Linked DNA regions of Cricetulus griseus. The protein of the gene in region 2 purifies or fractionates together with the protein of the main gene of each other region. This does not show direct contact. Links are inferred from orthologs where the notes say so. Each region holds a gene or a part of one and is shown on either strand. Other genes may lie near its edges.

Region 1 (3,745 bases), on a different chromosome or scaffold from region 2:
CAGGTGGAAGTTTCCTTGACCTCTCTTTTGAGAGCAAACTTTCTAGATTTTGCTGACCAATTCTTTCCAGTGTCTTTGTAGAAAAGGTTTTCTCTGATGTGTCATACTTGGATCCAGTTTGGAAAGCTGAGCAGTTAAGGTGTCAGAACTTCTCATTAGGAGCAGGTTGTTTTGTTTTGTTTTAAAGGCTTTGATCTGTGCACTTGGACTGAACATTCCAGTCATTCATCTTCCAGAATTTCAAGTGTGGGATTGGGTTGTCGGTTGATTTGACTGATTTGATGACATCACAGAGACAGTTTGAATGCCTCCATTTGATTTTGTGCTTTCAACACATCTTTAGGGACCTGGAACTTTAGGGACCTCCTTACCATATGGTCTCAGCAAGGTGATAAATTTTCAGATTCTGGGAGTTGGCAGGAAAAAGTAAGAATGGAATTAGAGGCAGGATGGGGGAAGTTAAGTGTCTTGGCCTAACTCATTCGTGCTAACTCCCCAACCATGCATTTCCAATCGACCATTTTGTCAAAGGTTTGTGTGTGTATATTTGGGTTTTCACCTGCACGGAGAAGTTGCTGTTCTCACAAAAGTATTAAGACATCACTGATACTTGGTGGTTTTTCTGGATGGACCCCTGGGGGGGGGGTCTCCACCTTCCTTAAAAAGAGAATCGAACAGAAAGGCACCTAGCTGAGGGGCTTAAAAACAGCAAGGCACAGACTTTCAGCGGAAAGTTGATCGTTTTAGAGGGTGAGCATCGAAGATGCGATTAAAAAAAAAAAGCTGGGTGTATATAAATCAAGAGGATAGAAGTGTTCAGAAGGCAAGAGTTGGGAAATATTAAGAGAGGCACCTCGATGGAGCTAGTCGAAGTGAGGGATGATGGTTCCTCGACCGTAGATCTTAGATTTAGCATCCAAGGGCCTGACATCCAGTTCGGTTTGTGTCCTGCTAAGTCAAGAGTTTGTCAGCCCATCGCCTCCGGAAAGGAAGCTTATTTTCTTTTGCATCCTGGGGTGTTTGTCTCCCCAACACCAGCTCAAAGCCACGCGGCTCGCTTGCTTGCTGGTTCTTGGTCCCTTGGGAGCGGCTGCTGCAGGCTAGCGGGTGGGCGGGGCGCCGGCGTCTGCAGCGCGCAGAGGGTTAAGCGGCAGGGGCGGTGCGCGCGGGAGGCGGGAGGGGGCGGCCGGGCTCCGGGGCTGAGAGCGCCGCGGCCGCAGCCAGCAGCGGGTTAAGCGCCGCCCGCCCGCCCGCCCGCGCCGAGAGCAGAGCCCCGCCGCTGCTCCGAGCTCGCATTCGGATCCGCTAGAGCAGGAAGATGGCGACGGACGGCGCGAGCTGCGAGCCCGACTTGTCCCGCGCCCCGGACGACCCGGCGGGGGCCACGGCGGAGGCCGCGGTAACCGAGTTCCCTGGGCTCCGGGAACGGTGTAGATGCGGGCTGGGGGTGGTGCCCCGGTCCCCGCCGGACACTCCCCGAGGGATGCCCGGTGCTTCCCTGGAGTGCCCCCTTACTTCCTCGGGGTTCCATTTCCTTCTCCGAGGTACACCTTCCCAGGGGTGTCCCCTTCCTTCTGGGGTGCCCCCTCCCTGGTGTGCCTCTTCTCCTGGATGCCCCTTCCTTCCCCCGGGGTGTGCCCTTCGGATGTCCCTTCCCTGGGGTGCCTGCCCCCAAGGCCAGAAGCGGATTCGAGTAGCGCGACGCTACCCCCGCCGCCCCCGAGGTGCTAGGAGCCCGTCGGTCCTTCTGGAAGCTCCCCGCATGCGTCCTTGGGGACCCCTTTGCCCACTGCTGGGGTGCTCACGGAGGATCTCAACCCCCATTGTTCAGCTCCGCCAGGCACCGAGCAAATGCTAGTCTCGGGGTGCCTGACACCTCTTGGGAGACCTGGGGAAGCAGCGAGGGAAAGGCGACCCGTCCGTCGCCAGGCAGGTGTGGAGATGCTCTTTGTGTGCGGGGGTTCGTGTGTCTCGGGGGGGGGGGGAGGACGCCCCGTGGGAGAGGCCCCGCGCCCAGCTGTGGGTGCTGCTGCAACTGAGCGCCAGCACTTTGGGTCCTAGCTGCCTGCTGCTCCATCAGTCATCGGTAGGGACCTTCTTCCCCAGGCGGAGTGGCACTGAGCTGGGGTTTCCGAACCTGGTGTCAACACATTGTTCCTTTCCCTAGCGTCCTCTCTTGCTTAGGCGCCTACCTGCTCCCTTTTTTGGTACTCTTGAGTTGTCTGCACGCACAGACGCTCCCCGGTGGTTCCCACTCCCTCTGTGCCCCGCTTGGGGGGTCTCAACCCACAAAGCCAGCTTGGAAAACGTTCGCAGGTCTGGGAAACAGCTTTTGCCAGAGCGGCAAAGATGTGCAAAGAAAGGCAGGTCTAGGAGCGCCTCCCAGTCTTGGCCAAATCCCGCAGCTCTCTCGGAAGATTCTGAGTGGGACCGAGGGAGCTGAGCAGCCTGGCATGGACGCCCAGGTCCGTATCTCCCATCTCCAGAGCCCAGACCCGGGCTGGGCAGGACCAGGTGTAAACAACCTGGGCAGTTTAATTCCCTCCCCTCTGGAGGGAGGGCTTGCTAGGAGGAGAAGGCAGGGGTGTGGAGGAAGGTACCTGGAGGCAAGAGCTGCGAGAGGAGAATAGGAGGGGTCAGGTACTAATTCCCATTGGTGAAAATAGAAGACTCTGGGCTAAAGTTTTGGGAAAAATAGCGGGTTTTTTTTTCTAATAAGAACTTTAAAGATATTTCAAATGAAACCTTTCCACTTGAGAAATACTTTCATTCTGAGAGTCGGGGACAACGAAGAAAATGGCTATCAAAGCAAAAGTCCCTCTGGGAAGCTGAAACTATTGAGTGTCCTGTTCTCCATGAGGGGGAAAGTGGAGGTGTGGGGGTCGCGCTCCTTCTCCCCCCAGGAGGGTGGATAGTTTGTTTAATCTACTTGGAATACACAGCTTTGTGCCCACAAGATATTTCGGCCACCAGGCAAACCAACACAAAGCATGCAGTTTATGATATGTAAGACTGTAAACAAAATTGCATCGTCAGGAATACTGCTGTGCCAACAAGGTCAGTGTTGCTGTCGGCTGTTTAAAATTGTCAGGAGCCCGATTCAAAGGCTGCTAAGTTGGCAGCTTGATTGTTCTGCTTTGGTTGAGGGAGAATAGCCAGGCAAAATCTCACCGACTGGGACCTCCTCCGTTATTCCCAAGGGATCCCTTAGGCTTCAAATCTGCAGTAACAGTGCTAAGGTATTTGAAGTAACTGTCTACTTTTAAGAAAGAATGTGGTGGCTTTTTATTCAGTAAAACTGGACTTCATTGTTTACAAGTAGTTGGACTTGAAATATGGGGACTCTTATGTTAGCTACTTGAGTAAACTGGCATTTTTTTATTATTTTGAGGATCACATGTAGCTAAAGCTTATCATGAAATCATGGTTCTCCTATCTCTCTGCCTCCTGAAGGCTGGGGTTAGTAGTCCTTACCACCACCCTGCCTGGCTTTGACTTATTATTATTATTATTATTATTATTATTATTATTATTATTATTATTATTAAAGAAAAGCTAATTAGAGAAATCCTGTTTGTCATACTTGTTCTTCTTCTAATGGTTAAAAATTAAAACTATATTTTGCCAACAAAGGACTTAATATATATTTTTAATTATAGTGAGGAATTCTCTTTTTGCCTCAGAGAGATTTATTTCATTTCAAATTGGTTTACGTCTTGTGGAATTTTATATATACATTTGGCAG
Region 2 (3,645 bases):
TTCAGGGTGAGTGACTGACTGAGAGGGGTGACAGTCACACCTGTTTCTGCCCACAGCCAGACCACACACAGGTGCAGTCAACTGACCCAAAACAGGAAACGGCGCTTGCTACGCTGTACCCTGTCTCTTCTCATACAGCACCTTCTGGCCACCCAAACAGAAAGACTCCATTTGCCTCATTATTCAGGCATGCTAACTGAGGCTCTGCTTGTGCAAATTGTATCTCAAGTTATTTAATGCATACTACTTAAAACTGCCTGACAGAAAAAACAGTGACTCTTTTTTATCCACTTATTAGGAACAAGTCTCTCAAGGGCTGGAGAGACACATGAGTGTAACGCTGCAAGATGGGAAGGGACTTGCTTATGCTTCATCAAAGAGAAGGGTTCAAATCCATGCCTTTCTGCTTGGTGGCTCTCCAACTCCAGTCCAGATAACCCACCCCACATCTTCACTTCTCTCAAGATTTTTTTTTTTTTTTAACAGCAACAGAGTGGGTCCCAGTGAGCACTGATAGCAAGGAAACATGGCAGCTCTGTTCATTGCCATGGCTACAAACCCCTCCTACTGTGTTGCTGGCGTACTTACCATGATCAACCAGCCAGGCCATACACAAAGAGTTGAGTTTCTCATCAAAAAATTCCACACCCTGCAGGAAAAAAAAAGATTGGTAAGGGACTGAGGGGTAGGGAGAAGGAATTGAGGGAGGGGAGGAGGAAGGGGTCCCAGAGAATCAGGCAATGCTGAACCCGTCAAAGCTACCAGCCTTCTTCCTCTGCCTAAACTCCATGCAGCATCTGCTGAGGGCCCAGTTCCCGAGTCCAGTCCTCCCCACAGGCAGCTCTCAATGCCTACACCAAGGCTTCAAGCCCCTAGTAACTGCACCACAGCCCTGGTCCTGGGGCCATGACCAGACCAGATCAGACCCCCAAATCTATCACCTCAGGGCCAACAAAACCTGGCTCCTCACTCACCAGCTGTCCAGCCAGCAGAGGCATGTATTCAATGATGGCCAGCCGCACCCGCCACTTGGCATCCTCAGCCAGCTCCACAATGGCGGGGAGCAGGGACTGAGAGAGCTGCCGGATGCCAATCACCTCGTTCACGCAGTCCAGGTTGGAGATGATGTTCAGCCGTACCTCAGGGCACTTGGGAAGAGGACAGGCGGGTTAAGAGAACACAAAACATACGGCGGCCCTAGGAGCGTGTCAGGAGCAGGCAAGAGCTCCCCTCTGGGTATCGCCTGTGACGGGCAATAATCAAACAGCCATCTAGTCTCCCAGCAGCCGAGGCTCTGCAAAGTGAAATGGGAGCCCCTCGATGTGCCCGAGTTGCTAGTGTCTGGACCCATTCTCTATCATTCCCATCACTTCAACTGCTAATGCCAGACCAGGGAGGACATGTGATGAGTCTCAGAACTGCCAGACTCCAAGCAGTGCGAACCCTGATTTACAGTCCATAGCCATTCCCACTCATGCCACAGAGCAGAGACATCTATAGGAACAAACGCATAGACCTCACAGAGGCCACTGAAAGCAACTTTTCCAGAAAACCCCAAACCCAGAAGAGTTTGTTTTGTTTTGTTTTTTTTCTATGGTGGTGGTAATAGAAACTGGACCCAGAGCTGCGAATGTTAAGACCTTTCAAGTGACTTCACTAACTTTGTCTAAAGACTTCTGGAGTAGGAACAGCCTGTGAGGAAATCTATGTCCCAGCCTGGGAACTGGGTTGCCATTATAGAATCAGCTACTGGGTACTCTATCAAAGTGCTCCATTAAAGAATTAGAAGGGGGCTGGAGAGATAGCTCAGGGGTTAAGAGCACTGGGTGTTCTTCCAGAGGTCCTGAGTTCAATTCCCAGCCACCACATGGTGGCTCACAATCATCTGGAATGAGATCTGGTGCCCTCTTCTGGCCTGCAGGGATACATGCAGGCAGAACACTATACATAATCAATAAAAATAAATCTTAAAAACAAACAAACAAAAAACCAAACAAACAGAAAAAAAAGAATTAGAATGGGTAGCATCACTCTGGGCTGGCACCCCAAGAACACTGGCCCTTTCTCTCACCTCTCCCTAATACTGGCTACACTCTCCTAAAAAGATCTCTTTCAGCCACTGCGTTTGTCTACATATTCAAATCCAATTCCCTGAGCTGTCACCACAGTGACATCTTTTCTTTTCTGTGGTCTAGGCCACCTGCACAGACAAGTATGGTGACCTGACTGGCTATGTCAATGGAACATGTAGAAGACACAAGCTAGAGAGAAGCCCTTCAATGAGCCAAGAGATAAAATTATAGCTGTGACCTCAGACCAAGAAAGCCAGGCCAGCAAAGCTAATACCTCACCACAGGACCAGCTGGGACGATGCGAGAGGAGTAATGGTAACTTTCTATGCCACTGTATTAGGGGCTTTGTGGCACATGAGCCTAAAAACCATGGCGCACCTCTCCCAGTACCGACAGTATCTGAATGGAACTACGTCTGTTCCTCTCCACGGGAACACTCTGTGGGGCTGTAAATATCACCACCACTGTCCTGGTCTTTTTTATACCCTCAGCACTCAGGGGAAGGATGAGTGCAATGTGAAGGGCGCATGAAGCATGTCTAACAAGAGTGAACAAGCAGACACTCACACCTGTCGTTGAGAAGGGAGTGTGGTGTGTGCTGTGTGGTGCCAAGACTCTAAAATACTCTTGGTCAACCCGGCGAACTGCAGTCTGTCATCTCTGCAAAGAGCTGAAAACCTTCCTGGTACTATTACCTCATCCTTTAGCTGAGCCAAGAAGAGTGGCAAGAGGTGCTCAATGGTGTTGTCTTTGCCCAGAATGGGAGAGAGGCCCATGATGACTGAAGCCAGTGCTGACTTGACATGCTGGTTGGCATCTGACACGAGTTCCTGGGGAGGAGAAGGATGCAGCTCAGTGTCTGAGTGGCTGCACAGACCTCAGCCCTGCTGGCCTGAGGAGACCACACTCTCCCACGTGTAACATAGGCAGGGCAGCTCAGGCATGCACTGCACTTATTCACAAGTCCTCTCTTGTTTGCTATGTGAGCCCTGCTTCCAGCAGCCACTGCCCCATTCCCCAAGCTCTGTGGATGAGGGAACTCGGTGGCCTCTGAGGGGCAAACACACCCCTTAGGTCCTTAGGGTCAGTTGTGTAACCCTCACGATTTTGCCTACAGCCAAACCCATGATGGTTAAAACCCAGTTCCTGTGTGTCCTAGAAGGATGCAAATCTAGCTTGGATGGGACTGTACTGAAAACCAAATCTTCACCTCTCTGGCATTCTCAAGTCCTACACCCAAGTACGCCATTACCTTGATGCAGGGCAAGATCTGGGTCATGATCACATTCTCTCGGCAGTCAGCTGAGAGATTTTCACAGAACTCTGTGGACAGAGATGGGAAGGTGCTGGTGAGACGCCACGGCCCAATCCCATTGCTGCCTCTCCGACATCCACCCATCTAGCTGCGTTCTGGTTGCCAGCACCAACCTTTGACCTTGTGGGAGGCAGCGGCCCTCACCTCGGCCTCACAGTCCTTCATCAGGTTCTGGAAGGCGGGCACCAGATCTGTCTTGGTTATCTCAGGCCCTACTGCTTTCTGGAGCTGTACACGAAGAGAAGAGGGGCAGCGCTG
Region 3 (3,745 bases), on a different chromosome or scaffold from region 2:
TAGGGAGGGAGAAAAATAATACAAGTCTCTACTCCAGGCGAACTCCCTCTCGTCTGAGGAAATCCTGTGAGGAAACGCCACTCGGCGCGCCGATGAGGTTCTAGCTTTCATGAGAGTGTGTAAAGTCCCTCTCTCCCCCAAGATCAAATGGGGAACTCCCCTGCCTCGAGCCATTCAGCAGCTTCCTTTTCTGTGCTGCTGGCAGAGGAAAGTCCCTGTCTGCGCCCCCAAAAGTCTCAAGCCCCGGGGAAGGGGTGGTGCATTCCAGAACCACAGAACAGTCTCAACAACACAAGACAAACTTACACACGGACACACACACACACACACACACACACACACACACACACACACACACACACACACACACACACAGTCACACACAGACACAAAATTTAACGATCGATCGTCCTCTTCCGATAAGCCTCCAACTCTAGGTCTCTCTGCGTGAGACTCGAGAGCCACGGCCCAGCCGGGCTGCCCCGTTCGGGGCGATGTGCTGCCCGGCAGCAACCAGTCTCCCCCTACGCGCCCAGCGCCTACGGTCTCGGCTCGTCCTCGGGGCCGGGAAAGGCCACGGCCGAACTTCGGGGACGCCCGCTGCTCAAGCTCCAGCCGCTCGGGCCCCGGAGACTCAGAAGGCCACGATGGCTGTGCTCCAGGGGCTCATGTCTCTCAGCACCGGCTTGTCGCAGCAGATCTGCCCAGGCTCGGCGGCTTCCGGGCCGCTCTCCTCCGCCTCCTCTTCCTCCCGGCCGCCCGCAGGGCTTTTCCGTAGGAGTCCCGAGAAGCTAGAGCCGAAGATGCTGATGAGGTTTGCCACGTTCCCGGTCTCCATCTCCTCGTCCGTGTCCGTGTCCTCCTCGCCGGTGCTCGGCTGCTCTTCCGAGTTCCGGCGCGGCTTCTTGAGAGGGGTCGAGCCGGGCGCCGGGCAGCCAGCGCGGCCACCACCCACTCCCGCTGCGCCGCGCTTCCTGGGACACGGGGCGGGTGGCGCGGGGGAACCGTCCTCGGCTGGCTGCTCCTCCCGGGCCGGGGGACAGCCGCACGGGCGGCGCACTGCCCGGGGCCCCTCGGGGCACGTGTCCGGGCCGCCTCCAGAAGCCATCGCGCGCGGACGCTCCACGCGGCCCCAAGCAGCTGCCGCCGAGTCTGCCTCTCGGCCCGGGAGAGCGTCCCCAGCTCCGGCCACGGCGGCCACCGGCTCCGAGCTTCCCGTTCCCGGCGTGTGGCACACCGAAGGGCGCTGAGGCTGCGGCTCGGGCTCCGGCCAGGCGGCGCGGGCGGACGGCGGAGGCGGCTCTCCCCAACCGGAGGGTGGCCCGGCCACCGGCTCTCCGGGCTGCTGAGGCGGCGGCACCGTCGGGATACCCGTAGGGCCGGCCAGGTAGAGGCCAGGGCACGGGTCACTCAGGTAGACCTGGCGGGCGCTGCGCAGCACCAACGACACCAAGAGGTTCTTGTGTAGCTTGATGCCGCCGCGCTGGACCCGCGAGTTGTAGATCTTGCCGAGGGAGATGCTGACGATGCGGTGAGCCTCCAGCTTGAACTCCATCCTGCCTCCGCTTCTCGAGAGTGGCGCCTAGACGATGGGGTGAACGCCGAAGCTGCGAGAGGAGAGGGAGGCGGAAACAGGATCGCCTCTGGGGTGCACCCTCGGCGGCTGAAAGCTCGGTGGAGAAAAGACCCGGTGATGCGTAGCCCCCTCCGCCTCTTCGCCGCAGACAACAAACCTGATCTGCGTTGGTCGCTAAACTGAGCGGAACGAGCCCCACACAGCGCCTTATATAGACTCCTCGAACGCCAATCACAAAGCGCCGCCAACCGTTCTGGGCGGGCCGATGTGCCTCGTGCGCCGTCCCCAGCCAATCGGAGGCGGAGGAGGGGCGCCAGGGCCGGTTCAAACGTTAGTCCCGCGGAGCAAGCTCTTAAAGAGGGCGATCGCAGGCGGCCCAGGGACCAAGTGCGGTGGGATTTGGGTCCGAGGTAACGGTGAAGGTGAGTGAGGCCCACAGAACTGTCTGTCGTCACAAATTCCGATTTGTGAGCTGTCTTAGCCAACCTCACTAGAAGCGGACTATTGGAACTTTCGTTGGTTTGGAGTGCTGGAATCTACTACATAGTAAAGTTCGGCTCCTTTCGTGCGCAGTTTCCAGCTGCTCACACCATTTCTTGGCAGGAATAGAAGCTATGGCAATACAAAGCAGGGACAATCCTGAACGACAAACAGTACGAGGTATTTGAGATATTATTTTGGAGTCAGATCCTTTCCCATTAGCGTCACACTTTCAGCATCTGACCACAAGCAAAAGGGGAGGTTCTAGAAATTCCCAAGCTTCTGGCCTATCAAGGAACAGTGTTCAAGTACAAAGTCATTGTTTCTCACCTAAAGCTGGCATCTTTCACTTAGTTCCCTAAATTCTCGGTTGTCACACAGATTAAATGGAATAAATAGGAGGTGTTACCTACTTCTCCGAAGTGTTTGCTTGTTTGGTTGTTTTTATTTGTTGTTTGTTTATTAACACAGTAACTGAACTAATCCACACTTGGGGAAATCTAGTAAGTTCTAAAAATACAAATAGAGAAGTTCTGGGTTCCCATAATAATGTTGTAAATTTGTTTTATGTCAAGCTAATAGTATGGGGAAAGGGTTCCATCCACTGAGTCTTAAAAGTACCTAGCAAAGGGGCCACAAGATTGTATTAGTGCCTTCTGACTTTGTAAATTACCTCATAGTCTTTTAGTTTCAATTCTAAAAAGGAGAAATCATGTATACACCCACTTTATTATACAAAAGATGCATGACAACTCTTAGACACCATAAAATTAAGTGCCACTTTCATGGAGCCTGTGTGCAAAGTTGACCTAATCCCACAGTAGGGTTTCTCCAAACAATGTGTTTATGTAGAAAAAAATACTAGTGAGAGTAAGGCTTGACCACAGGAGAGCAGCTTAGTGAGGTTCTGATAAGAGCCTGCTGCATTACAAATGACCTGTTCAGGGGAACACAGAGAATGTACCAGGTAATAGTGCATCTCATGGGTACATTTACTGATGCCACATAATAAGTGGTACTTAAGACAACTGCACAGAGATGTCCCATGCTCCTGTCTAACACAGTTTGCTTAAATTTATTGCCAACTGACAATCCATCTTGAGTGGACTCAGTGACTTGGCTAGTGACCATGGACAGGTGCAGGACCTGGGTCTTTCAAAGCTTTCTTTCTTTCTTTCTTTCTTTTCTTTCTTTCTTTCTTTCTTTTCTTTCTTCCTTTCTTATGAGTGCTCTGTCTTCTCCTATGTCTGCAGGACAGAAGAGGGCACCAGATCCCATTCTAGATGATTCTGAGTCACCATGTGGTTGGTGGGAATTGAACTCAGGACCTCTAGAAGAGCAACCAGTGCTCTTAATGACTGAACCATCTCTCCAGCCCCAAAGCTTTATTTATTTTAATCAGAATTTCTTTTAAATATTTATTTATTTTTGGTTTTTCGAAACAGGATTTCTCTGTGTAGTTCTGGCTGTCCTGGAACTAGCTGGCTTTCCCCATGCTGGGACTAAAGGTGTGCAATACCACACCCACCGAACATCATTCTGATTTTATTTTTAAAAAGTCAAAGGACATCAATCCCGTTCCTACCAAATTTTCTGGTAAACCTGAAAATAGGGTTTCATGGGGACTGAGATATTCCTAACAGGGCTTTGAAGCATCTGGGAAGGGCCACATCCTCAGGCCTCACCAGA

The links. The genes of interacting proteins can lie anywhere in the genome.
Region 1: the proteins of Ppp2r1a (region 2) and Cttnbp2 purify together in Homo sapiens (affinity purification with mass spectrometry; 3 studies listed by BioGRID and IntAct, with this or other methods). This does not show direct contact. The link is inferred for Cricetulus griseus from reciprocal best matches to the Homo sapiens genes PPP2R1A and CTTNBP2.
Region 3: the proteins of Ppp2r1a (region 2) and Ier5 purify together in Homo sapiens (affinity purification with mass spectrometry; 3 studies listed by BioGRID and IntAct, with this or other methods). This does not show direct contact. The link is inferred for Cricetulus griseus from reciprocal best matches to the Homo sapiens genes PPP2R1A and IER5.

What each region holds. Positions count from the first base shown.
Region 1 is NW_023276806.1:208,097,461-208,101,205, forward strand, and holds the start of Cttnbp2 (cortactin-binding protein 2), read left to right. Parts: upstream 1-1,209; 5' UTR 1,210-1,318; coding exon 1,319-1,399; intron 1,400-3,745. UniProt on the Homo sapiens protein: Regulates the dendritic spine distribution of CTTN/cortactin in hippocampal neurons, and thus controls dendritic spinogenesis and dendritic spine maintenance.
Region 2 is NC_048602.1:19,078,400-19,082,044, forward strand, and holds part of Ppp2r1a (serine/threonine-protein phosphatase 2A 65 kDa regulatory subunit A alpha isoform), read right to left. Parts: intron 3,616-3,645; coding exon 3,501-3,615; intron 3,396-3,500; coding exon 3,325-3,395; intron 2,903-3,324; coding exon 2,768-2,902; intron 1,149-2,767; coding exon 975-1,148; intron 650-974; coding exon 589-649; intron 1-588. UniProt on the Homo sapiens protein: The PR65 subunit of protein phosphatase 2A serves as a scaffolding molecule to coordinate the assembly of the catalytic subunit and a variable regulatory B subunit.
Region 3 is NC_048598.1:36,655,344-36,659,088, reverse strand, and holds the start of Ier5 (immediate early response gene 5 protein), read right to left. Parts: upstream 2,249-3,745; 5' UTR 1,556-2,248; coding exon 635-1,555; 3' UTR 1-634. UniProt on the Homo sapiens protein: Plays a role as a transcription factor. Mediates positive transcriptional regulation of several chaperone genes during the heat shock response in a HSF1-dependent manner. Mediates negative transcriptional regulation of CDC25B expression.